2 linked regions of the Caenorhabditis elegans genome follow. The protein of the gene in region 1 interacts with the protein of each later gene in a pairwise test. Each region holds a gene or a part of one and is shown on either strand. Other genes may lie near its edges. The genes, in order: klp-3 and sorb-1.

Region 1 (5,815 bases):
TACTAATCAAAAATGAGGTATGTGTCTAGATTTCAAGAGCACGAAAGATATTGGTGAAGCAATTTTTAAAAATTATTCTAGTTCAATACCAACATTTTTCTTGATGTTCCACATTTCGAACTCTTTCCCTATCTCTCTCTCTCTCCTTCTGCGCTTAAATTCTCCAAATTCTCATGTTCTGTAATTAGCGGTCTTGTCGTGGTCATCACAATTACACGGAAAACTATTTGTTTGTGTTATGTAATGTGTATGTTCTCGCCATAAAACAAGAAATGAAACCTGAAAAACGAGCAGAAACAATTGGCTTACTGCCTATTACGTGTGTGTGTGCCCGTTCCGCGTCCCTCTCATTTCCGCCCAACTCCGCCTACTTTCGTCTCTTTTCGATCACTTTTCCGCATCATTTTGATCACTTTTACAAACACATTCATGCCCGTAGTCCACCACCATCATCGCTTAACTCTTGAAATTTCTGATTGGTCATTGAATTTTGTCTTGGAACTTCCATCATTGAACACCAATCCAATTTAGACTTTTCCTTGTATTTATATGCCTATCGCCTGAATTTCTCTGATCTAGATGCTACCCAAAACAGACTTTTTCCCATTTCGTGTCACTCCTTTTTTGTGGGTCACAACTAATAAATCATGTTGCTCGTCGGTTTCTCGGAGCACACTCCATCCTTTTCCTTCTCATCAATTCAATGTGAATCGACATGCTTCTTCTTTTTTCTTCAGATTTCTTCACTACCGTCGTCACTTTTCGTTTTTTTTTCTTTTTCAACCACTTGAAAATGTGAAAATGTGCACTAGAAGTTTATGAGCTCTTGTAACCGAACACAGGCTCGTTTGTGAAAATGTGAAATGGAATGATGTTGGAAGAAAGAAAAGAACAAATCATGAGCTCCGGGTGATGGAATTCAAACATTTTTCCACAAATCTTATTGGCTTTAGTCAGAATTCTTCGTTCGTTATTCTGTAGAGTGACCCGAGTCAGACAAGCTTAATGAAATCATCAATATTCATTATAAACAAATTGTTTTAATTTATTTAAAGATCATTCTTTATATTATCAGAAAACAAGCTCTGAGTTTTTAATAACCATTTATTCAAACCTCCAAATATTCAATAAATTGGGCTTAATTTCTGTTTCAAAATGTTTTTTAATCAACCAATATATTCTCATCAGTTGTTCTATGAAAATTCTATACATTTACAAGAATTTTGGAGCGATGGAATAAACTAGGTTATAGCAAGTTGATGATACCTTTTCCACTATTTGAAACTCGACCGTTCTGTGAATTTTCTATAAATACAAAATTAACCTCATTCATGAAAGTGCTTGACGGCAAACAAAACAGTACCGAGATCAGATCACAAATAATTTTCTCTTCCTTTTTGTTCAATGTTCTGCCATCAGTCTACATTGTATTCAATTTCATGTTTGATTTGTGCGCCTGTTTCGCTACAAGCTCTTTCTCTGTGCCCTTTCAACTTTTCATCCTCCTCATTCCTTCTTCAATTTTTATTAGTTTACCTTCTCTCACTTTTTTATGACGTGGAATCACTGTATTTGCAGAGATACTTCTTCACCTTTTTCTCCATATTCGACCAGTTCTTTCACTTCTTCTCGGTTTTTTCTTTTCTTCCCTTTTTCCGCTAATAATACCTGACCAACAATTCATTTTCGGCTTGGTCTTGTATAGAAGACCACTTGAGATACTTTTGAATGCCATTCAGTTGCTATATTTTACTTTTTTTTGTTTTTTTCCTGTTGTTTTAGTTGCTAACTAAAAGATTATCCTTTTTGATCTGGCTACGATATAGTAGACAGAAAGAGAAAGTAAAAAATCGAACGTTGTTGACATTTTGTTCACTTTTTATTTCCTTTTTCAATTTTACATACTCTTAAATATGTTGACTATCCTCTATGTTTCTAAATGAACACAAAAATTTTTGTCTCCGTTTTTTGCGTTGTTTTCCTCAACCGCTGCACCCTAGAATTACTGTTTTCCAGAAAAAATAAACGATCGACACACATAAACACAGGAGTCTCTCACTCCATTTTTGACTTTAAAAATGGATTCGCATGTCGGCGAAGTCGATATTTTCCAACAATGCAAGTATATTCATGAGGTTTGTTCTAATTTCAGTTTGTTTTTGGTTTAACTAGTGTCACTAGTTGCACAAAGTTTGAGAGAATATTTTAAGATTTTTTTTTTCTGAAATTGATTGAACCATTTTTCACTGAGTTTATTAAAAAATTGTGTACCAGAATTCTAATTCACATTCCAATTATTGTTCAATTTCAGGTGGAACTCGTAAATATGAAGTTGCAAATGCGAATTCTGGAGACACACATTGAGACAAAAGACCGACTTCTGAGAAATTTAGAAGATATTATAGACGAACAAGAGTCACGAATTGCAAATATGGAAGATTTTATTCAAGGTACGCACTGTCGTGTGTAGTGAATTTTTGTGAAGTTTTGCATGATTAAAACCCCGTATTACTTATCCGTAATCTTAGACACTTACTTGATATATTGTCATGAGTACCGTGTTTTTTAATCCCAATTTTTTGATCGTCGTGTGATTTGGCTATCTTTAGCTCAAAAGTGTTATCTTTTAATACGCATTTTTGTTTTTTCTTAAAGTAATTGTGTTGTGGTGGTCGGATTGGCATGATTTTATAGTGTTTAATCTTTATTATTTTCTACTTGGTTTTTTGGTTGACAGTGCCTTTTTTCAATTTCACATATTCTACCAAAATCATTTCAATCCGGCCGATACTGATAATATTTTTCTAACATCATTACATGTTCACTTTAATTTCGCAAGTCCAAACAAAACTTACAACAGCTTATTTCTAAACAATAATCTAGCAAACGGCTAATTGGAATGATCAGGTTATTAAATGTTGAAATTGAATTGCAGGCCGTGCCACGTCATACACAAATCGGTCAAATATGCTGAAAGGAATTTCAGTTCTTTCACTGGATTTCGGAAATCTTTCGGAAGAAAATCTACGATTGAAAAATGCGCTGAGCCAAATGCAAAAAGTGGCAAGAGTGAATGAGTTATTGGAAACTGATGAAGATTATGAAAGTGATATGACAAGCAATGAGGATCGATTTGCTTTGAGGTAACCATTTTATTGTAATGTGATTGTCTTGTGAAAATAGTTTGAACACTTGAATTTTTTGAAAAGTAGGTCAAAAATGTAGTGTAATTTATTTTCCGTTTGCAAGCCTTTGCATGTTTTCCTGTGTATTCCAGCCGTGATTCTTCATGTTCGGTTCCCAGATCAGTGAGCCCCCAACCAACGGGTGACGTCATAAAGCCATATCCTCAAATGGTTCAATCAATGAGAGAAGAAGGGCATTGGAAGAAACTTCAGAGATGTGCAGAAGAGCTGAAAACTGAAAAAGATGAATTGAAGAGACTAGCATTGGATACAAAAGATGCATTCAATGTATGTATGGCTGAAATGAGAATGATGCTCACTTCAAAGACAACTGATTTCTTCCGAGTTCTCATTGAAAGATACAAAGCAGAAATGGAAAAACGAAAGCAATTACACAATCAATTGGTTGAGTTGAATGGTAAGTTCTAAATTGATTGAAATATTCCAAGAAATCGGAATGATTGATCTTTATAACTACTTTCCAAAAAACTAAAATTTTCAATTTTTAAGGTAACATTCGTGTATTCTACCGTATCCGTCCACAACTTGCATCAGAAACTGACAATCAAAAACCAGTTGTCGTGATAGATGAAATGGATAACGGAGTTGTCCACGTGTCAAACACAACGGGAACTCGGAAAACTAGTGCTGGAGCTGACAAGGTTATTCCAACTGATTTCTCGCAAGATCAGATATTTAATGAAGTTTCTCCGATTATTACATCTTGCATTGATGGTTATAATGTATGCATATTTGCGTATGGACACACCGGAAGTGGAAAAACATACACTATGGATGTAAGTTTAATTAAATTTTCAATAGAACTTTAAATTTCCAATTTTCAGGGTCCCGTCACAATGCCTGGAATCAATCAAAGAGCTATTATGCAATTGTTCGAAACTGCGAAGGAGAGAACGGGCGATATAAAATATGATATTAAAGTTGCCATGATGGAGATATACAATGAAAAAATACGGTAAATTGACTTTTTTTTTAACCTAAAATTGCAAATTCATTTTTCAGTGATCTCTTGAACACTTCCAACACAAATTTGGCAATTCGTCAAACTGAAGAAGGGAGAAGCTCAATTCCAGGACTTGAGGAAGTTTCAGTGAACTCTGCAGAAGAAGTCACGGAAACGCTTGCTAGAGGAAGAAAGAATAAGGTGAATTTGAAACAACTTCATATTCTAAATTTTCAATTTTCAGGCTGTAGCTGCTACTGAAGCCAATATTGAATCCAGTCGTTCTCATGTTATTGTTAGAGTTTTAGTATCGGCCACAAATCTTATAACAAAAGCAACTACAGTTGGTATGTCATTTTTCAAGTGAAAAAATATTTTGAATATATGATTTATTCAGGTCGTCTGAATTTGGTAGATCTTGCTGGATCAGAGAGAGTTTCTCAAACGAATGCAACCGGTCAACTGCTAAAAGAAGCTCAAGCTATCAATAAATCTCTATCTGAACTTGGAAATGTTGTACTTGCTCTTCGCCAGAATCAAAAACATATTCCATTCAGAAATTGTCAATTGACAAGAATTCTTGAAGATAGCTTGAGTGAGTTTCATAATATATTGGGATTTCCCTTTTAAATATTATTTTCAGATGGAGACAGTAAAACTCTGGTCATTGTGCATTTATCACCAGATGCAAAGAGTTTGAATGAATCTATTAGCAGTGTTAATTTTGCTGAAAAAATCGGACAGGTATGCATTTATGCCTTATCACATTTTACAAAAATTAAATGTTTCAGGTATTCACAAAAAGTGGAACGATGAAAAGAGAACCAACACGTAGAAGTATGACTGGAATAAGCAGTGGTCAACGAAGAGAAATCCCAGCATCTCCAAGAAAATGAACCTCATAAAATATCAAATATTTCATCTCTACTTCTCCAATAATCATCTTGTCAAATCCCTGAAATACCCGCTTACTCTTTCCATTCTAGTCCATGAAAAATTTCAAAAATTCAAAATGGGTTCCAACAATTTTTTTTTTCTAAAACTGCTGACTGACCAAAAAACTTGAAATACGGTTTACTTTTTCAAATCTAAATATATCCCCCATTTTTATTATTTGCAAATTTGTTTATGTGTGAGCTTTGAAACAATAAAAATATTCATTTAATATTTTTTAGTTCAATCCAATATTTTGATAGGTGGAATTGCAACAAAAATGAAGCAACAAATTATAAAAACAATTGTGAAGATTATAAGGCAGAATCGGTCAACTGCTTGAGCTGCAAACTTCCATTCGTCCTAAAATTTGAAATAAACATTGTTTTTTTATTAGGCCTGCATGTAGGACTATTTTTTATTTGCTGGTAAGTGTGACTATAAGAGACTGGAATGGTAATAGAGGAAATAAAGTATTGAACTATAAGGTTGATCTAACTCTAAAAAGAAATGTTAATAATGTTGTCAATTGTATAAAATAACTTAAACCCTATTTTGGGGCATATATGACAATATAATACATGCATTACATTTGACCGAGTACGGTTGGCTCTCTCTATCTATCTCGTTGTCCAGACCAGACTCATTTTTTCCGCGAAGTACTCTATGCCTCTTCCCTCTCTAAAAGAGACTCAGACAGTCCAAACAGAAGGACATTCTCTTCCACGGCCAC
Region 2 (4,948 bases), on another chromosome or scaffold:
TTTGGCAAAAATACATTTCAGAAGCTGGTGGCTGATTACTTCAACGTTCCATTTCACTATATTTATCGTATTGCCAAGTTGATACACTTCAACTTAGAACAGTTGGGGTTTTGTTGAATAAAAAATTTTGAGTTTGAAAATTTCGAAAAATTTCTCCTGTTTCAAGTATTCTACATATTAATCGATCAAATAGATTGTGCAATTTTCATTACATATGTTCCACGAAAACATCAACTCACCTATCATTTTTGAATCCTTGTTCTTTATAAGACGGAGTTGATGTCATCGGCGATCGATTTTGCTTCTCCTCAAAGCTGGCTCCAAAAAATAAATTGCTCGGCGATTGACTCGCCAAGTTGGGTGATGACTTGGAAAGGTCAATTGCCACTGGTTTATGCTTCCTTCGAATAGTTCCATAATGATCCGTCGAGCTTGTAGAGTAGGGAGCCGGGGATTTTGATTTTACGAGAAGTTGGGAACTTTCCAAATCGATAGATCTCTTGATTTCACTCTCTTTTTCTGGAGAAAATGGTGGAAAATTTGTTGGTTCAAATTGTTTAGCAACAGGAGCCACGTGGCCAAACGGTGTGAGTTCTGAATTGAATATTGAGCTTGATGGAGGCTGAGGCTCAGGTTGTTGATTCTGCTGATTATTTCCATTTTTCAAATTTTCAGTCGATGACGTCATCACTTTTTCAGACAAAGATACACACGGTGTCTCACTTCCCTCTTTCAATTCATTTTTCTCTTCCATTAACTTTTTCCTATATTGCTCATAGAGATGCCGTTGCTCGGCTGCCGCAGAAAATCCAGCAATTTCTGAAGATTCTCCAAATGTCGAGATACACGAGGAAATAATTGATGCACTGTCATCAATGTCGAATTCTCCGAGGTGATGACGTGGATCGAGCGCCACGTCATACGGGATTCGGTAGGACGTTTTTTGAGATTGCTGGGGTTGAGAGGGGGCTTTGGAGCTCTGTAGGACCTGAGCCTGAAGGGCTTGAGCAGCAGAGTGTGGAGGCTTTGTGGAAGGAGGCACTGGTGGTTTCGACTCATTGTGCTTTACTTGACTGTAACTGGCCGGTGGAACCTGGAAGTTGCAAAAAATAATTCTGCTGTTTCAACTTCATAACATAATGCGAAGATGTTAATAGAGTCGGTCTTTCAAATTTCCCCGCTTCGAATTTCAAGTAACTGATTTTGGCATTCCGTTTGCAAGAAATTGGAGGTATCAACACCGAATTGAATAAAACTTTATAATTTTATTGATTTTCCTGGTTAGAATCAGTTCTGCGCGGAAAATCTTTTCAGCAAATGTACAAACCTACGTATTTTAGTTTGGTGATTATATTTTTTTTGTATCAAAAATCATTACAGAAATGTAGGACAAGGTTTGTTCTATGAGTTCTATCTGATAATGATATTTATTTTTTCTGCAAAGTTCGAAAATTATCTCAAATAGTGCCTGAGTTAGGGTTTGCCGTGAAACTTTTTCAGCAAATGACAACTTTCAGACACTATTTGACCCAATTTTCATAGAAAATTGAAAAAAAAAAAATAGAAACCACAATTTTTTCTGTTTCAGGAATTTTATGTCATGACAATAGAACAAGCGAAAAATGTTTATTGGTTTCAATCTTCAGTGTGTCGCAACAAGTCTAAGTAAGAGAATAAGCACTAAATTTTTTAGAACAACATGAAATGTCTTGGCGATTTTTCAGGTCATTTGCATTTGCAAGTTTTAAAAAGTACTCAAAACATTTTTCCTATAAGTTTTCCTATCACAAAAAAATAGTAATGTAGTTTTCATAGACAACACGAAAAAGTATTTTCATTGTTTTAAATTTTTGCAAATCTTCAAACTGTACACAAAATTTTAACGTTTTTTAAAACAATTTTGCGTAAATTTTTATCTACATAAGGATTTTTCATAAACTTCCCGGAATGTACAATTTTCAAAATAGAACTGAAAAGTTGTGTTTTCGGAAAATTAAAAAGAAAGTTCTACTGTTTCGTGAAAGCCATTTAGGACATTTACAATTTTCCGGTTTGATCTGATCGGTTTGTTCTTTTTTAACTTAAAAACTGTTAAATTTTTGAAATTTCGTATATAGAAGCTATTATTACTTGTGAATTGTATTTCTGAAAAGTAGAAAACTTCAAAACTCAAAATAATTTTGCTCATATTTTACAATTTTTAGTGAAGCTTTAGTCGATAATAATTTCTAGAAAAAAACTCACGTGTTTCACTCATAGCTTGTAAAAAAAGCCAAAAAGAAAATAATATCAGTAAAAAATGGTCAGTAATAACTAAATTTAACTATTTCAGCACATTGTTTTCAGTTTGAAAAGTTCGTTGCTTTATTGTATCGCTGTTTTTTTCAAAATAAAACTCACTCCTTGAAAATATTTATTTGGATTGACAGGACCATCAAGTACTCTTCCCATATTATGCTTGTTAAGATGTGGATCCACATATCCATTTGGTTCGTATACTTTTACATTTTTGGCCCAGGAAGGAGTTGAGTCTGGAATTTATTATTTTATTGAACATCAAAACATTTGGATTTTTTGAATATTGCTGGTTAGGAGAGACATCAGGAGTTGTTTTCCGCAAAATCAGAAAAAATTATACAAAAAAAACAGTTTTAGATAGTTTATAAGACTACTTCAAAACTTTATTGTTACTGTTTGCAGCATTCGGACAGAAACCAAAATATCTTACTATTAATAGAAAAAATGACAAAAATCTAATTGCAAAATTGCTGCTTCATCTTCCAGGTCCGTCGAGGTACCAGGTCTCAGCCAATCGTGTATTTGTTGACTATCTTGTTGACTAACATTTTTTACAGTTTCAAGGAATTCATATGAGCTATGTGTTACTTTCCGAAAACTATTATTTCGTAGCTTAATACATAGAACGCCTAGAAAAACAAAACTCACCAACAGGCGGAGGCGCTGGTTTCTGATATCTGGAACTATTTCCAGTTGGTGTCTTCATATCCAACTGCCCATGTATCACATTTCTCAACGCCGCCACATTTCCCTTCGGTGAGAATTTATCAGAATCTTCAAAGGTGTCAAAGTTGTAGGCATCTGCTGCAGGATTTAGATATTGACCAGATGGCTGTTGTGGTTCTGATGAGTTCTGGAAATTAATTAGGGATTGTGGAGTAGATTAATTGAAAGCTCTTACCGCCAGGTTTGACCCGAATGGATGAGGATGATGCATCATTCCTGGAATATGGGAGTTTGAAGAATTGTATAACAAAATAAAGGAAAGAATAAATGAAAAATGTGAAATACGGAAGACTAATATGTTCTGTCAGAAATGGGATTTTTTTTTGAAATTTGTACTGTAACAGTTTTTATAGTTCTCGAACTTTACCCAATCTGACAATAATTGCAGATTCATGGGATGTACACTATTCAAGAATATTTTCCATTTTCCAGAAAACTTCAGACATCTTGAAAATTTGTTTTAATTTTCAAAATATTTTCTCACTAGATTTTTAAATTCTATAAAGATTTTGAACCCAATTTCCAACTAAATTTGACATTTAGGAGCGCCAGTAGAATGCATTTTTGGAATTATAAGGATGGTACTTAAATGACCATATTGTCAATTTTTGTTTTGACTGTTTCATTTAAGTGTTAAAGCTCCCACAATGGATTCACGTTCAATTGACGCAATCCTTAAAATCATAATTTTTGTTGAAATGTTAATGCTTGTGTTAAAGTTATTGTTTTTAAAGTTTTGAACACCTTTTGAGACTTGAATGAGAATGTATCTAGTTTTTAAAAATAGCTTCCAAGACCGGGTAAAATGTGCACGGCAATCACAATTTTGCCATTGCTGGAATTGAAAAATGCTAATTTTTGTTTTCTTAAAATAGAAAAGACACTTGTAATTTTTTAATTTTAAAAATGAAAATAACATTCTGGAACAAGTGTTTAAATTTTATACTGTTTCTTTGAAATGGTAAAGCTTTTACAACATTTTCAAATCTATTCCACCTTTGTCCATGAGTATGTAAGACGTACAACTTTTGAAAAATGTTGTCTGGTCACTTGAGCAGTTTTTTCAAGAATAGTAAAACTTTTAGGTTAAAAATTTTTTATAACAGGGAAAAGGCCACATTTCATCTATCAGAATTTGGGGTTCGACCCAAAAAATTATTTCTACGATTTTTTACACTTTCATTAAGTTTAAATAATTAGAACTCAATGATTGTAGGAGTTGCAAAATCAGTTATGTATTTCACTGAAAACTAAAATTATTGAAAATTAAAATAATAAAAATTACCGTTTCACAGTTGTAATAGTTAACAAGCCCGAAACAGTACTAGGTTTTACGAAAAGTTGTTATTTTGAAATACGACAAAAAAACCAAAATAAGAAAAATTTTATCAGTAAATCGAGTGATATTATTGTTGCGAGAGCCACACTTAGAGAAACTAAGAATGTCCCTCATTGCGTCTTCTGTCCCCGGGACACGAAACAGAATCACATTCTCTCAGTGTCTGCGTCTCTCTATCTTTTTGCTCACTATATACATGACTTTACACACTTTTCGTCTTTCTTCTTTCAATTTTTGTTAAGCAATTGCCGGATGGACCTGCTGAAGAGAAAGAGAATGAGAGGAGAGAAGATGGAACTGCTCTCAAGTGACCAGACAAACTTTTTCATCACTATGATCATGATCATCACACCTTTGATTTAGTACTCTTTTGGCCAGAAGTAACCGTTGTATTTAAAAAAAGGTGGAGCGCAAGCTTATTAGTTTCAAAGGAAGAACAGAAACTTTAACACTTCATAGAAACAGTTAAAATTTGCAAAAAATTTGTTCAAAAAAATTATAGTTTTTTGCCGTTCGCATCACAATTTGCCATCGAAGAATAAACCTAGGAGACTAATTGTGCTTAAAAATAGTTTTTTTATTAGT

What was found.
Region 2: the proteins of klp-3 (region 1) and sorb-1 interact in binary tests that used the Caenorhabditis elegans proteins (3 or more experiments, as listed by UniProt).

What each region holds. Positions count from the first base shown.
Region 1 is NC_003280.10:7,840,339-7,846,153, forward strand, and holds klp-3 (Kinesin-like protein klp-3), read left to right. Parts: upstream 1-2,014; 5' UTR 2,015-2,078; coding exon 2,079-2,135; intron 2,136-2,311; coding exon 2,312-2,450; intron 2,451-2,935; coding exon 2,936-3,143; intron 3,144-3,277; coding exon 3,278-3,603; intron 3,604-3,695; coding exon 3,696-3,982; intron 3,983-4,030; coding exon 4,031-4,161; intron 4,162-4,208; coding exon 4,209-4,350; intron 4,351-4,393; coding exon 4,394-4,496; intron 4,497-4,546; coding exon 4,547-4,744; intron 4,745-4,792; coding exon 4,793-4,893; intron 4,894-4,940; coding exon 4,941-5,045; 3' UTR 5,046-5,315; downstream 5,316-5,815. Other genes in the region: Acetylcholine receptor subunit alpha-type acr-7, read right to left, coding at 5,326-5,445.
Region 2 is NC_003282.8:13,748,626-13,753,573, reverse strand, and holds the start of sorb-1 (SH3 domain-containing protein), read right to left. Parts: upstream 3,242-4,948; 5' UTR 3,239-3,241; coding exon 3,200-3,238; intron 3,152-3,199; coding exon 2,947-3,151; intron 2,922-2,946; exon of another isoform or gene 2,901-2,921; intron 2,716-2,900; exon of another isoform or gene 2,692-2,715; intron 2,532-2,691; coding exon 2,401-2,531; intron 2,390-2,400; exon of another isoform or gene 2,369-2,389; intron 2,315-2,368; exon of another isoform or gene 2,291-2,314; intron 2,078-2,290; exon of another isoform or gene 2,057-2,077; intron 1,819-2,056; exon of another isoform or gene 1,798-1,818; intron 1,785-1,797; exon of another isoform or gene 1,764-1,784; intron 1,648-1,763; exon of another isoform or gene 1,627-1,647; intron 1,185-1,626; exon of another isoform or gene 1,164-1,184; intron 1,094-1,163; coding exon 240-1,093; intron 224-239; exon of another isoform or gene 203-223; intron 1-202. UniProt on the Caenorhabditis elegans protein: Required for organization of sarcomeres in body wall muscles and for maintaining normal mitochondrial position in myocytes.